Notamacropus eugenii: one gene and its partner. The protein of the gene in region 2 interacts with the protein of the main gene of each other region in a biochemical or structural test. Links are inferred from orthologs where the notes say so. Each region holds a gene or a part of one and is shown on either strand. Other genes may lie near its edges.

Evidence for each region. The genes of interacting proteins can lie anywhere in the genome.
Region 1: the proteins of F5 (region 2) and PROS1 form a complex in vitro, tested with the Homo sapiens proteins (2 studies listed by BioGRID). The link is inferred for Notamacropus eugenii from reciprocal best matches to the Homo sapiens genes F5 and PROS1.

What each region holds. Positions count from the first base shown.
Region 1 is NC_092877.1:194,196,765-194,205,206, reverse strand, and holds the start of PROS1 (vitamin K-dependent protein S), read left to right. Parts: upstream 1-3,424; 5' UTR 3,425-3,735; coding exon 3,736-3,814; intron 3,815-8,442. UniProt on the Homo sapiens protein: Anticoagulant plasma protein; it is a cofactor to activated protein C in the degradation of coagulation factors Va and VIIIa. It helps to prevent coagulation and stimulating fibrinolysis.
Region 2 is NC_092873.1:476,827,204-476,835,645, forward strand, and holds the start of F5 (coagulation factor V), read left to right. Parts: upstream 1-3,906; 5' UTR 3,907-4,265; coding exon 4,266-4,420; intron 4,421-7,266; coding exon 7,267-7,358; intron 7,359-8,442. UniProt on the Homo sapiens protein: Central regulator of hemostasis. It serves as a critical cofactor for the prothrombinase activity of factor Xa that results in the activation of prothrombin to thrombin.

The DNA.
Region 1 (8,442 bases), on a different chromosome or scaffold from region 2:
TGACTGTATTTCCACAATACTTGAATTGTTTCTTTCTGGCTGCTTGTAATATTTTCTCTTTGGGAACTCTGGAATTTGGCTACAATATTCCTAGGAGTTTTCCTTTTGGGGAATCTTTCAGGAGGTGATCAGTGAATTCTTTCCATTTCTATTTTCCCCTAGGGGTAAACCTGGGGACTCCAGCTTCTGGGATAAGAACTCACTATTTGACAAAAACTGCTGGGAAAACTGGAAAATAGTGTGACAGAAACTGGGTGTGACCAATGCCTGATATGGTATACCAGAATAAAGGCCAAATGAGGCACACAATCTAGGTATGAAGGCTGATTCTATAAATAAATTGGGGGAGCAAGGAATCATTTATTTGTCAGATTTATGGAGAATGGAGAACTTTATGACCCAACAAGAGATACATTATGAAACGCAAAATGGATAATCTTGATTACATTATATTGAAAAGTTTTTGCACAAACAAACCCAAAGCAAGATTAAGAGGGAAGCAGAAACCTGGGAAAGAATTTTTACAACTAGTGTCTATGATAAAGGCCTCATTTCTAAAATATAGAGATCACTGAGTCAAATTTACAAGTATCCAAGTCATTTCCCAATTGATAAATGGTCAAAGGATATGAACAGGCAATTTTCAGAGGAGGAAATTAAAACTATCTATAGTCATATAAATCACTATTGATTAGAGATGTAAATCAAAACAACTCTGAGGTACCACATCACACCATCAGATTGGCTAACATAACAAAACAGGAAAATGCTAAATGTTGGAGAAGATGTGGGAGAGTTAGAACATTAATTCATCATTGCTGGAGTTATGAACAATATGGAACTATGCCCAAAGGACTATAAAAATGTGCATACCCTTTAATCCTGCAATAGCTCTTCTTCATAAAAATGGGAAAAGGACCCACATGTACAAAAACATTTTTAGCAGCTCTTTTTCTGATGGTCAAGAACTGGAAATTGGGGAAATGCCCATCAATTGGGGAATGGCTAAGCAAGTTGTGGTATATGAATGTAATGTAATACTATTGTGCTAGAAAGAATGAAGAGGCGAACTTCAGAAATACCTGGAGAGACTTATAAGAACTGATGCTGAATGAAGTGAGCAGAACCAGGAGAACATTCTACACAGTAACAGCCACAGTGTGCGAGGACTGTTTTTGATGAACCTGATAGAATCCGATTCTAAATCTGATTCTTCTTCACAGCAATGCAGGGACCTAAAACATTTCTAGGGGACTCATGATGCAAAGTGCCATCCACATCCAGAGAAAGAACTGTGGAGTTGAAACAGAATGAAGCAGACTATTTTCTCTGCTGTTATATTTGGTTTTGTTTAGTTTTATTCATGCTTTCTCCCTTTCATTTTAATTCTTCTGTGTAACATGACTAATGTGAAAATGTGTTTAATGAGAATGTATGTGCAGAGCCCACATAAGATTGCTACCATCTTGGGGAGGGAATGTGGAGGGAGGGAGAGAAAATTTAAAACTTATTGAAGTGATTGTGGAAAATTAAAAACAAAATCAACACTGAAAAAAAATAAATGAGTAGCGTTCAGAAGTGGCCACTTGTCAGATACCTGGTAGTGGGGATTTATTTTCAGAATGCATTGGACTAATGGGGCTAAGATGCCTTTTAACTCTCATATTCTCTCATTTAGTGAATCAACCAGGCTTTGCGTGAAGACTTCACTCCCTTCAACAGCAAACAGATGTAGTCTAACCAGGGCAAGGTATGGTAGACTCATAATCTCCTTCATTAAAAACAGTCTATTTCTGTCTAATGTGCCATTAGTTTTCTGTGGCTGCCACACACACTGCTGAGTTTTTAATTGACTAAAATTCCCAACTCTTTTGGAAAGTACGAAATACCTACAATTTTGACATTAATCCCAACTGCTGTATTAAAACATGAATGTTCTGTCCCTTCCTAATTCTATTACTTTCATTGACTAGGAAGTTGGAAGGAAAAAAATCTTTCATCACAGTTCCATGTCAAAGGATATTCATCACAGTTTTCAAGCATTGTACTCAGGAGTAATGGTAAGTCAGTCTATTAACAAGGTTGGAAAGGGAACAGGATCTATGTGAAAAAAATATTTTATAGCTTCTCTTTTTGTGGTAGGAAAGAACTAGAAACTGGAGGTATGGCCATCATTTGGAGAATAGATGAAGAAGCAATGAAATCTGAAAGGAATAAAATCTCATTATGTTATAAAAAATTATGAAATAGATGGTTTCAGAGAAATCTGGGAAGGCTTGTATGAATATAGAAGAAAATGAGCAGAACCAGAAAAACAATTTATACTCTAACATTGTAAAAATGAACAATTTTGAAAGACTTCAGATTTTTGATCAGCAAAATCATCATTTGTGGTTCTAGAAAATGGATGATATTTTTGTGATGATATTTATCATCACAATTTTCTTTAATGTATGGGTGATGGAATAGGTAGGAAGAAGAGGAAAAAATTGTTTTAAATTAAACACTTAATTTTATAAAACAAAAATAGTATAGGCAGTCGAGTCACAGAATTTAAAAGCCAACAGGATCTTACTGAGATTGATTACAATAGCATCACCAATTTTTTTTAATAATCAGCATCCTGTTTTAACAATTCTGCAAAATAAGTAAATATATTAACTTTAAAAATATATGTGTGTATATATATACACACATATATACACATATATGTATAAATGCTATTACACACAAGATTAATTACAGTAGTGGGAACTTTGAGCAGGAGGTATATAGATTCCTGATAGGCTAATAAGAATAGTATTCTGAGGAAGTTGGGATTTTTGTAGTGTAGGTCTTTGCCTATACTTTCGTGTGTTTTCAACAATTTAGCAAAACTGATGATTTTATTTTGTCTCCTCCTTTTCTATATACTGATAATGTTGATCATTTCCGTATCTGTTCCTTTCCTTCTTTTTTCTTGCCTAAATGTTCTACTACATTGTCCGTAGGAACTGAAGCAGTAATTCAGTAGCTTAAAACCCTCCTTTGGGATGAAAGTTTTCGTCTTTTAATACTGCCCTATGCCACCTACAATGCCAATGAATCAGAAATTTCCGTTTCTTTGCCAATAACGAAGTCCACAAACAAGCACACCTAAAAGGGGATGTTTTGTGCAAAATGCTGACTGACCTGTTCCTAGGTTCAATGTCAAAGTCCGCAGAAAGGACGAAGTAACTGGATGAATACAACAGTGCCCCCAGGGCTACCTATTCTGTTTCCATGAACGCCTTTACCGCCACAGGCTGTGACATGCCCAGACTCAGGAGCCTTGGCAAAGTTTTCCTGCTGGAATGTTTTCAGTGCTCTGTTTCCTTGCTAAAAGCTTCCCTTTGCCGCCCTCCCTTCACGTAACCAAACTTCAGATCTGTATGAGGACAGACTGCTTTCAGGGGCAGCAGAGAGAGCAGGGCTCTGTTTACTGCACTCCCTGGCCCCACGCACATCCACCCCCACAGACTGAAAAGCTTCCCGGAAAATGTCCTGTTTCTGGGCTGGAGCCCGGCCCGCTGTTATCGCTTTCCCCAGCAGGGGCTGGGGGACCCAGCTGGCAGCTCTTCCCTCCCTCCCTCTGGCTCGGCTCGGGGACAAAGTAAATAGAGAAGAAGCTGGAGCCGGAGCGGAGGCAGCGCAGGCGGCCAGGGCGCAGACACGCAGGGCACCCCGTCACGCGAGCTGCGGAGGGGCCTTCTCGCCATGAGGATCCCGGGAGGGCGCTGCGTGGCTTTGGTTCTGAGCCTCGCGTTCGTGATCCAGATCTCCGGGGCAGTAAGCTGTGAGTACCCAGCCCCAGCCCGGACCCCTCTGCCCAGCCTCAGCGCTGTTTCTCCCGGGTCTTCCCCTAGCCCTGCCTCCCTCACCCCATCCTCCTGGTGGGGGTCAGATACAGGGGTCGGTCGGGCGAGCATCTGCGAGCTTGTGGCGGTCACTCACTGCCTGCTTGGCTCCCTTCGGAACTGATTCAAGGGATGTCGGAACCAATTACGGATAACGGAGCGAGCTGCCTAGTCCCGCACCTCTCTCCGGCTTCAGAGACCGAAGCTCCCGGTCCGGGCAGGAGGCTGTGCGAGCCCCATTCTCCCTGCCCCGCCCCCCACCAGGATCCATCCCCAAACATCCCCCCTTTCCCTGCCTTTCTGCTCAGCCTTGTGCAATGCCTGTACTTTGAACTTCTGTTGACTCGCGTTGCCGCACTCACTAGAGCAGGAAGGCGGCTAGCTCTTTGGGAGATCAAAAGAAGGCTTGTTTAAAAAACAGGTACCCAAATCGCTTGGTGCCGCACGTTTTAACAGTAAGTGCATTAAAATAGTTAGCTTGCTTTATTGACGTGTTTACAGTAGTGCTCCATACGTTTATACCTTGAATTAGATTTCCTATTGTCTTTTATGGGATGCATGATACGCACCTTGGAAGAGTAAAGCATTTCCGCACATGCAGTGTTAATCTAGTTTCTAAAATCGTGCTACTACTATCCAAAGGATGCCTGAGGTGAATTATCCTAAAGCTGATTGCCTGTGGGATGTTTTCTAGGTAGGTGGGATCCAAGTTTTTCTCTAGGTAGGGCAGGACACATAAACCTCGGACTTGAAATAGCTTTTGATGCTTTTGGTAACTAAAAAGAAAAGATTCCAAATTTAGTCATCCCAAATTAAGAATTAAAGAGATTACCTATAAATTCGAACAAAACAGCACTCATTTTGCATAAATCAAGATTGTTATTAATTTTTTTTTAAAAAATCCAAATGCTGAAAGTTGATGCAGTGTCTAAGAATCAAAATGGAAAACTTCAACACAAAATGACTAATTTATAAGACTCCTTTAGTTTTTAAAAATCTAGATGGGATTTATATGTCAACAGGAATTTGGGGAATTTTCCTGGGAATTTTTTTTGTTTTACAAAGGTAAAAAGAGCAGAAGTCCCTTGCCTTTCCCAGATACTACTTATTTTCATGTTATTATGGAAATTTGCCTACCCTCTTTTTCAGGAGAGTAATTGACCCTGAATATTAGATAGACATGGGGTTTATAGTTATAGAATGATCATCCTTCTCTTCAACTATTGGTTCATTTCCCTCCTAATTCTCATGCTGGGTTCTAAGTGTATCAATCAGAAGGGTATGTTCTCCTCCTTCCTCAAAATTTACTTGAAATGCATAGCATCATTAATAAATCAGTTAGCTCTAAGTCTACTCCAGTTTATTAAGTAAACTGAAAAAAACACCTTTTTTTTAAGCCTCTCTGTAGGATATTGGATGGAAACCTAGGCTTGGAATTAGGAGTACCTGAGTTCAAATTCAGCCTCAAATACTTACTAGCTGTGTGACAATGGGCAAGTCACTTGAGAATTTTTCTCAACTGCAAAATGGTGATAAAAATAACACTCTCACCTCATAGTGTTGTTGTGAAGATCAAATGAAATAATTTTTGTAAGGCTCTTGCCACACCTCCTGGCGCATGGAAGGCACTTCTCTTCTCTCCCCTACAACTTTCTTTCCCCTCTGTCTTTCTAAAACCCTGATCTCTTAGGTTTAGACAAATTATCAGTGTTATCAGTTATGCAATATATTAACAACACAGCAAACACTAGAAAGACATTTAATACTTCAGCAAAGTAGTAGCCATAAGATCATAGCCAGATTCACCTCTAGCCATTAACTGCAACTGAGGACTTTTCCTGAATTCTGGAAGTAAAGCCCAACTCTCTCTCTCTTTCCAGACTAAGTAAAGCCAGTCAAGAATTCTCTTCAGGATACCTTCAGCAAAGCTTAACATCAAAATTCAGTTCTCTCAGCAAATCTCTCTTGAGTCTTTCTCGCATATGACAGCGAACTACTTTAGGTCTTCAAGAAATTCTGGCTTCTGTTTCTCTCTTCCACAGTCTCTCTCTAGTCATGACAGCAACAGTATCCAAAATTACTATTAAAGTTCCTTTCTCCCATGATTTTATACTTTCTTTTAATACATGCTTTCTTTTAATACACATACATGCACATTGACATTTTTGAGTTGTACCATTCTAGAATGTCCTACCCATTTCCCCTCTCCTTTTGACTTCTACTTGAAACTGTTTGTGTTAAATTTCATCTTACCCTTATTTTCTCTATCTCTTCAAAGTCAGTGTTAATGTGTTAATGGGTGGGGAAGTAGTCAGTGCTGAGTTAGTAGGTTAAGGTTACTGGTTGAAGTTCCCGCTATTCATCTGAAGACCAATTCAACTCTCATTTATTGTGGGACATATTTGTGTTTTTGAACCGTTATTGTTGAAACACAAATGCCTTTCCCTGCAGATTACATCTAATATCCTCTAGGTGTCATTAAGGTTAAATGTTCTATTTACTTTAGTAATTTTATTTTTTGTAGATTTTTAAAATTTTAATGTACTTTCATTTATTTTGTTAAACTTTTATTACATTTTAAAAAGATTTTAACCTTCAGTTTTTAAAATTTGAGTTCCAAATTATCTCTCTCCTTTCTGCTCCTCTCTCACCCTTGAGAAGGCAAAAAATATGATATTGATTATACATATAAAGTCATGCAAAGTACATTTCCAAATTAGCCATGTTGCAAAAGAAAAGAAAATATAACAAAAATGAACTGTAAAAAGTATGTTTCAATCTGTACTCAGAGTTTATCAGTCCTTTCTTTGTATGTGGGTAGCATTTTCCATCATGGGCCCTTTAGAATTGTCTTAGATTATTTTCTTATTCAGACTAGCTAGGTCTTTCACATATGATCACACTTAAAATATTGTTCTTACCATGTACAGTGTTCTCTTCGACCTTTTCACTTCATTTTGCATCAGTTCATATAGGACTTCCTAGGTTTTTTTTTTTTCTGAAATCATTCTACTCATCATTTCTTATAGCACAACAGTATTCACTGCTGTCATATGTTACAACTTGGTCAGCCATTTCCCAGTTGATGGGCATCTCCTTAATTTCAAATTCTTTGTCACCACAAAAAAAGCTGCTATAAATAGTTTTGTACAAATAAGTTCTTTTCCCTTTTTAAAAAAAATCTCTTTGGGATACAGACCTACTAGTGGCATTTTTGTTTCAAAGGATATGCAGTTTTATATTCATTTGGACATAGTTCCAAATTGTTTTCCAGATTGGTTGGACCTGTTCATAATTGTACCAATTAGTGTCCCAATTTTTCCACATTTCTGCCAGCATTTATCAGAACTTTTAAAGATTCCAATAAGAATTCTCTCTCCACTGAAGTAAAACACATTTCTACCCCCTGAATACATTAATAAAAAGTTTTTGTGGATGGTTCTGTCTCACAAAATTCATCAAATGGCAGGCAATCTTCTTATAGACAAGCTTGTTCAAAGTTATCTAAACTTGTCCTCTGATTACAGGCATAACAAGTATCTCATAAATTCTATCCAGCTCCTACTCTGTTAGCATAACCTCCCAAACCCAGAGTGATTTCCATGCCTTGATAAGGCACATAAATAAGACTTTTGTAGAGGTATATATGAACATTGAAAGCCTCATAATATACCTGTCTGTTGTAAGGCTCTATGATGAGGGGCAGAAGGTAAGAAAATCCATAAATGTTTTATGAAAATTGACTTTGAAACACGAAGACTGAAAATTGTTTTAAATTTGTTGAAGCAAATAAACTATCAGATTCCATCACTAGTTCTCAAATCACATATGCATGTGTATTTATTTATACTAAAAATATTTCAATAATAAAAATTTAGGTATAAGTCTGACAGACATACTATTCATAGAAACAAATAAAATGGAATTTTTTCATGCAAGGATCTATTGACGTTTTAGTTTGGGTCTATAATAGGTAATCATTCTGGCAGAGAATAGTACGATGTTGGAGAAAGCCTGCTTGTATTTTGAGTCAGCACAGACCTGATTTCATATCTTGGCTTTACTATGTGACTAGGTAAGTCATTTCATTGCTGTGAAAATCAATTTCCTCATTTCTACATAGCAAGGGCCATCCCATGAGTCTTCTCAGAGTTGACATAACTGGCTCTTGCCATGTTGCCAGCTAAAGCTTGCTTCTTGCAGTGTGTGATGTACTTGTGGAGTGAGCACATGAGGACAGTCTCCTTATTGTCTTTGGAGAATTAGGAAGAACTCATAATTCACCTGGTAGAGTTGGATCGCACTGGAACTCTGGGAAGGAGTCTACAGTAACTACTCTATGACACTTGAAGAAGACATCAAAAAGAAGATTGGCCCAAACCTGGCCGTTTTACTAGCAGATATTTAGCAGAGGTTGTATAGACAGTGACAAGCCAAGGTAGAATGCAAAGGCTTCTATCAGCTGCCAAGCATTACCCTACAGCGTGGCAGTATCCAGACCATGGGCTGAGAATCCTCTGGAGACAATGGCATCATTTCAGTGGATCTGTAGATCCATGCCTGCACC
Region 2 (8,442 bases):
AAAACCTAACGGGACCTTAGAGGTCATCTAGTCTAACCGTCTTATTTTGAGGGTGAGAAAATTAAGGCTGAGAAGTGAAGTGATATACCAAAGGTCACCCAGAGGCTTAAATACGGATTTCTTACATGATTAAAATAAGACCAGGGCAGCCAGAATAGCCAGGTGAGAGATAGGATCAGGCAATGTAGTGTCTATGGATATCATTTACTTGATGTGAATAGAAGGTTGGATGGGAATTGTGCTCATCTCACTAGTGGAAAAGACAAATGAAGTGAAAGACTGAATTCTTGGTAAATGATCATAATTTCCAAAGTGAGAAAGGGTAGAAAGAATCTGCCTAATCTAACACCAAGTTAATCTACTTCAAAAAATAAAAATAAAAGGATAGTATGTATATATTATAGAGCTGCCCTTCCTACTCCCTGATGTCCTGGAAGTAAGAGCCATAATGAAAGACAGTATAGTGTGGGGTAGTGGAGAGTCTGCCTTGGTATTAAGAAGATCTATGTTCAAATGCTGCTTCCAACATATACTATCTGTATGATCTGGACAAATTATTTAATTTCCCAGTCACCACTGAAGATTGTTTATTAGGAAAGTGGCATGGTGCTTCAGAAATGGAAAGAAATGAATGAATGAATGAATAAAAGATTTATTAAGTCAATTCTAAGTGAAAGGAATTCAAATACAAAAGACTGAGCCTTCAAGAAGGCTAATTCTAATAGTGGAAACAACAGAAGCAAAGGCTAGAGAGGGGTGAAGTTACAGGGATGGTGAGTGAAGCCATAAGGAAATGGAATGATGCACTCTTTCCGGAAGCAAGGCTGATATTGGTTTGGTTATTATTCCCAGGGCATGAGATAAAAGTTGAGGGAGGGTGGAAGAGAGAGATTGTGCTGGGATGGAAGGAAGAGGGAGGCAGCCTGAGGTCAGTGAGATATAGTAAGTTCTTACCCCAAAGCATTGCCACAAAGGGGAAGTTGGAATCAGTTAGGAGAGTTCAAGACCTATCAGGAAGGTTATTTTAACAGCTCTGTGAAAGATGTTTTGGAGAAGGGAAAGACTAAAAACTGGGAGAGGAATTAGAATGGTGTTCCAATAGTCTAGACAAAAGGTAAGGAAATAGGGCATAGAGATAAGGGGAAGGATTCAGAATGAACAAGACTTGTCAAAAATTTGGATGTGGAGTGTGAGGAAGAATGGAATAGTAGAGGATGATTCCAGATTGCAAAACTAGCAGCTAAAAAGATGGTAGTATCTGCAGCAGAGACAAGGAAGTTGAGAGAAGAGTGAAGGTTGGGAAGGAAACTTAGGGAGCTCCACTGTAGACATGTTGAATTTTAAATTATTATTGGACATGTAAGTAGAAATGCCCAGCAAGCAGTTAGCAATGAAGGACTGGTGTTCAGGAAAGAGAATAAAGGTGGATGTATTGATTCATGAGTCATATTTGTAGATAATTAAGCCTATAGGAGGGGCAGCTAGGTGGCTCATTGGAATAGAGCACCATCCCAAGAGGACCTGAGTTCAAATATAGCTTCAGACGCTTACTATCTGTGTGATCCTGAGCAAGTCACTTAACCCTTTTCCCCTCAGTTCCTCATCTCTAAAATGAGCTGGAAAAGGAAATGGCAAACCAATCCGATATCTTTGTCAAGAAAACCCCAAATGGAGTCATGGAGAGTCGGACACGACTGAAACAATTCAACAATGATAAATGCATAGAACTTGATGATATCACTGAATTGTTTGTTGTTCAGTCTTGTCTGACTTTTGTGACCTCTGTAGAGAGTTTTCTTGACAGAGATGTTACAGTGCTTTGCTATTTCCTTCTTCAGTGCAAACAGATGCTAAGTGACTTGTGCAGGGTTACACAACTAGTGAGTATCTAAGGCTGGATTTGAACTCCAGTCTTCCTGACTTCATGGCCGGTGCTCTATCCATTGTGCCACCTAGCTGCTGAGATCACCAAGATGCAAAAAAGAGAGAAGATAATCTTAGAGGAAATACCTACAATTAGGAAGCAAGAGATGGTTCCTGTTCATGCAAAGGACACTGAGGAATGGTCATACAATGAGTAGAGGACCCAGGAGACAATAGTATCTTGAAAGGCCAAAAGATAAGAATGTTAGGAAGAGGAAGAATCAACAATAACAGAATGTATAGGGAGGTCAAGAAGGTTCAGGACTTAGACAAGGCCATGGGTCTGGCTATTCTAAATATGTTGATAACCTTGGTAAAAGTAGTTTCAGTGAGAATGGTGTAGAGTTAAACTGGTCAACGTTGGGGTCAAGACCTGGGAAGGAAGGGACATGGGGCCAAAGAAGGGGAAACTGATTGGAAGGAAAAGTAGGGGTGGAAGAATTGGAGAGCTAGGTGAGAATTGAGGATTAGATTTAGGAGGAATGAAGCAGAGGATAAGAGACCATGATGGAAGGAAAGAATTTCAGAGTTTGTTATCATGGAGGTAGCATAATTATGGATGACAGTGATATTTAGGGTATTATCATCCTTAAGAGTGACAAAATTGGAGTGAAGATATAGATTGTGAGTGTTCAGGAGGATTAATAAATGGAAAAGCCATGTGTCCTGGCATTAAAGGAATATCCATCTGTGTACCGGAGTCCTCAAGTATGAGGGCAGAGGCTAGGAGGCAGAAGAAGTCTATGAGCCAGATTCTAAGTTGCTGAAGAGGGGAAAATAATGTAAAGGCCTATAGACTATATCTACAGCCAGTATCTGGACAGGGTGTCCTAGATGGATAGAGGGAATCTCAAAAGAGAAAAGTTTGCTGAGCAGTGGTAGCAGAAGGAGGTCCTAAAAGAGAGAAGAATAAAGATTGTATCTGTTACACCTCTGGGCTCTGTGTGCAAGAGATGAGAGGGAGCCTTGAGTGATAGAAAGAATGGTCAGGGGTACATGCCTCCTAGGGACTTCTGTGAGTGCCGAAAGATAGAAAGGATCCGCAGAATCACATGTATATTAGGCAACAGAACCAGGATTCCCACATGGGCCACCGACTCCAAATTCAGAGCTCTTTTCTCTGTGGCCAACACTGATTCCACTCTGGATTGTTAACAATGATGAATTTCATGGGATAAATGGTATGACAGAAGGTCTTTTTGTAATGAGATTTTTGTAAAATATTAAGGAGAAAGAGAGGGGAGCTTCCAGCACATTGGATAAATACTCAAGAGAAATTGTATGGGAATACAAAAAAGGTACTGGCCCTGGTAAAGAGACATGGGTTCATGTTCCAGTTACTTATTACCTGAATGACCATAAGCACACAAATCAGTTAACCTAAGTTCCTGACCTATAAAATGGGGATACTGATATTTACATCTCTTCCCTCACAGGGTTCTTGTGAAGAAAACATTTTTGATCCTCAAAGAGCTACATAAATTTGAGCCAACTTCTGTGGAAGAAATACAGTCACAAAGAATTGCATGAGATGAGAAGGCATAAGTGAATTGTGATCTGCACCCAGAAAAAGAAGCACCATGCTGATGAAATAACAGATCCTTGAAGTAGTTGTTTACACATCAAGAAACTGAGTCACAGAGAGGTTGAATTGCCCAAGATGAATAAATAAATGAAACTGGGATTGAAACTTTGAACTCTCTATTCCTAACCTCAAGCTCTTTACAAAACATGATGTGATAGTGAACATGTCATAGTTTGAAGCATGTGAGAAATTTTCCTTCAGTTCAGGATGATCCCAGAAAGAGAAGGACCAGGGAAAGAGTTGGATCTTTGTATGAGCTCCAGCTAGAGAGTCACGAAAAGAGTGAACTTTGACACTGGCAAGTTTGGGGCATGAGGGAAGGGGGGGAAAGGGGCAGGTTTTATTAGCTTAAGTGGTGCTGTGGGATTGGGAGGCTAAGGAATACAGTCCTCTCACTGGCTCAAGAATTGCTGGCCATTTCCCTGCCTGGAGACTGGGCTCTCTGGCCCTTTTTCTCACTGTTTCCTGCATTAAGAAGAGACAGGGAGACTAGCTGCTACCCTTCACACCTGACTGTTCCACTGGGCTGTGAGCCAGCCAACCACCTGTCCTGTGGAGGCAGCCTCCCTCAATGCCTGTAAGCCCCAAAGAAGGGGGAGGGAATTTCAGTGGCTGCTGTGACTTCTGACAGAACCTTCAAAGGAAAGACATTACTAGCCACAGCCTCCCAGAGCTCACTGTAGCACAAACTATACTCCTCCCCCGAAGTCACCTACCCCAGCGGCTCCTGGGGCTGCTGTTAGCAGGAGTGGAAACCATGTCTCCAGGCCACCCAAGCCTCTGGGTCCTTGTGGTCCTGGGGATTGGGTGGCTGGACTTGGGGCAGCATGTAGCTGAAGCAGCTGTCCGACATCGCTATATAGCTGCTCAGATCATCAACTGGACCTACCGCCCTCCGACCAGCAACCCAAGGTAATTCAAGACTGGGGAAACTGGGGGAGTAGGGTCAGAAGAGAAAATAACAGGAAGTTTGCCTCACTATCTCTCTGGAAAATAGACTCTTTCCTTAAGACAGCTCACACTAGACCTGGATATTCCCTCTTTTAAACTGTAATTGATGGGATATGATGCAACATTCTGGTCATAATGCAATATCACTCCTCTATTTGTACATTTTATTATTTGGGGAGCACTTAATTATTAAGTTTAATGAGCTGGGATCTTTGTATTTTCAGCAAATATCATTTTATTCATAAATTCAATTTCTGACTTAATATGGGAAAAGCACAAAATATTGAGCACAAACTATTATAATTAATCGTATTGTCAACATCCTTCTTTGAATTGTCAAAGTAAAATTATTCCTGCCTGCTTGACTGCTTCTAAAAATTATTTGTTCTTTATGTGCATTATTATTCATAGATCTCAGGAGATAATGTAATGTAGTAGAAAAAGAACACTGCCTTAGGAATTGGAGGATTTGGGTTCAAATCCTGTCTGACAATTACTACCTGCGCAAACTTGGACAGTCATACCCTCTCTGAACCTCATTCACTTTATCTTTAAAATGAGAAAGTTGAATTAGATAACCTTTAAGGATCATCCCTCCTATCCTGAACCCTATGATTTTATTACCTTCGTGTTCTAAAAAGTCCAGATGCAGACTTTAAGATGCAAATCCAAATTGTTTGTAATCATTATTTGATTTCTGGCTTATGAATGGTACCTCCCCCTAAAGAATTACTGTGAGAAAAAGCAATAAATCTATTATTTTATGTTTCTTTAAATTTGCTTCATCAAAGCTACCTGGTATATTTCTTCTTCCTTTGTGATGATCTTTAGCTTCTACATGCCTATGAGAGAGAACTGTCCCATTTACACCAAATCTTGATTAAAATGAAATGCCTTTGAATTTAATCTGAGGATAATGTTTGCTTTTCAAACTGGTCTCACAACTTAGAGACTTTCAAAGGTGAAATGGAACTTCTCTGGAATAGTCTGGGATCAACAAGCAAACCTATAGTAGGTACAGAGTCCAATGAACTGTGCTTCTTTATTTTAAAATTGGGTTGATGGGAATGTTATGCTTATTTCAACCTGAAACGACAACTTGGGTGATTGGGAAAGACATGTTCCTCTTTCAGAGTTGCAAAATCAAGAGTTATCTGCCAAGATATGTCAAAATTTTCTGAGAGCCCTTTGGATTACAAAATTACTTGTTTGCTGTTTGAATGACTAAAATTTGCCACTTAAAAATTTTGGTTGTATTAAATCAATGTTGATGGGATTGAATTGAAGTGAAAGGTGATCATCTACTTTTATACTAATACATTTGAGGTCCTGTTATTAATAGAAGATTCAAAGAAAACAATCATGCTTTCCTGCTTATCTAGAGCAAACTAATTTGGTTGTTGATTTGTCTAGTTTATACTGGATTCAAGCCTACTTAATAACCAAAATGCCATGAAAATTCTTTGCAGAGACCAACTCCATTTCTGATATAACATGATTAGCATGTGAGGGAACTGTGAGTTCTATCCTCCAACCCTGGTATCCTAAAGGGTTTCCACCATAATCCTAGGAAGAGTTATCTCCCAAGCATCAATTCTTGGGGTCCTGTAAAACCTATGGCTAGAATGAGGAAAGCCCCAAGATGATCCAGCCACTGAGGTTCCTTTGTTGGAAAGTACTTACTGGAAAACCTATTTCATTAAATTGAGAAAACACCTTAAATATCCTCCCATTATAGCCAAAAGATAGTTGGAGAAACTATATGTGGCTTTCCAAGAAACTAGATAATTTTGGAGAGGGAATTGGCAAAACACTCCAGTATCTTTACCAAGAAAATCCCAAACGGGGTCACAAAGAGTAGGTTGTGAAAGAAACCATGGAACAAGATATTTTTAGAGAGAAATCATAATAGTGTTAACTTTTCCCCCAAAGTTAAGTTCAAGAGAATGAACATATTAGAGACTTTTCTTTCATTGTACATTAACAGGACCCAAACAGCCTTTAGGAACAAAATATTGTGTATTTACCATTTGTCCTGAGGTAATTTTAAAAAATGAAAATAAAACTTATTCAATTACTTCAGAAACTACATAATTTAAGAGTTGGATGGGACCTTAGTCCAAGTAGTTAAATCATACCTGAAAATTAACGCCCCACCCCCAACATGCTCAACAATTAGTCATCCAATTTTGTTTGAAGACCTCCTCCTTTGGAATAACTCTAATTGTTAAGCTTTCCTGATGTGCAAGCTGATTTCCACCTACTTCTAGACATGCCTTCTGGGGTCAGGCTGACCCAGTATAATCACTCTTCCCTAGGAGAGCCTTTCAAGTACTATACTTGAAAACAACTATCAAGTCTCTCCATAAATTTTCTTTTCTGGCTAAACACACTTAGTCCTTTTAAAAGAACCTCCTATGAATGATCTGAAGGCCCTTTACCATTCTGGTTGTATTTTATATCACATTTTTGTGCTTTGGGATCTCCCCTAGTTCCCTGTCTCTAATTCTGTATCTTGTTGAATGCTGATCAACCAACATCTTTTATGTAGCACCCCACCCCTTCCCTTCCACCCTATTCATTCCTTGGGAGGCAAGAACTATGTCATTTTTATCTTTGCATCTCCAGAACCCAGAACACTTCCTGGAACATTATAGGAACAAATGTTTGCTGAATTGAAAAAAAAGTGAAATGAAAAAAATTAAGAAAAAATATCCTTCCTACAAGTTAATGCAAAAGAGATCTTGAATAATAAAGATCTGTCCATAGAACAACTTTTAAACGAGACTTTTGTATTTCATGCTTAGTTTGAAGCCCTCAGAGCCTACCTTTAAGAAAATGGTCTACAGAGAATATGAAGCAGGTTTTACACAAGAAAAACCAAGGTCAAACATTTCAGGTAAGTTTCTAATAAAAAACAAGTTATAAAGCTAAACATCAATGAGAAGGTTAAACTGATAGACAACTTTTGTGCCCCTGGACATAATAAATAGACCATCCCACCATGACAGATTTACAGGAGAATATGGACATGATTTACAATGGTGGGATGGATGGCAATCAGCATGAGAGGAGGGGGTACTTTCATTGCTGAGATGACAGATCCATCAAATCCCCAAGCAATCAGCAAATAATTTGGGTTTCAGATTCTCTAAATTTGTCCAGAATAGAATCTATTTGTACTAATGGAGACCTAGCTGGAGCTAGCTTATACAGTACTTTAAGGTTTAGCAAAGCATTTTACATGTTATCTCATTTGATCCTCTCAACAACCCTGTGAGGTTGGTGTTTTTATTATCCCCATTTTGTAGATGAAGAGACTGTGCCACCTGGCTGGCTGAGCACTCAGTTTCTCTCAAACTGGTAGGTACTTATGCTCCTTTATCTCAACTGAAGGGCAACTAGGTGGCCCAGTGAAGAGCGTGTTGGGTTGAAGTCAGGAAGACTTTTATCTTCTTAAGTTCAAATCCAGCTTCAGACAGATACTAGCTGTGTGACCCCGAGCAAGTCACTTAACTCTGTTTGCCTCAGTTTCCTCATCTGTAAAATGAGCTAGAGAAGGAAATGGCAAACTACTCCACTGTCTGCCAAGAAAACCCCAAATGGGGTCACAAAGAGTCAGACATGACTTAAAAATGACTGAACAACAAGAACAACTTCCCTTCCGAAGTTAACATTCAGTGATTCTAAACAGGAGAATATTAATAATGATATAACCAGGGCTAAGTGAGTTGAAGAGGTATCCTAGGAAACTGTTACCCCCATCAAGAAGAACAGTTTTACTTGTTCCTGTTTTGTTTTCCTTTTCTAATTTTCTCTTTTCTTTCTTTTCTATGTCTTCCACCCTCCACTCTAGCCTGTTGGAACCAGCTCCAAATCACTTGGGAGAGCTGACTCTTAAATTTTCAGTGTGAGCATTTACATCTCAGAAACAGGCAAATAGGACAAATCAGAGTTTAATTTATTGTTTTGTTGATTAGCTA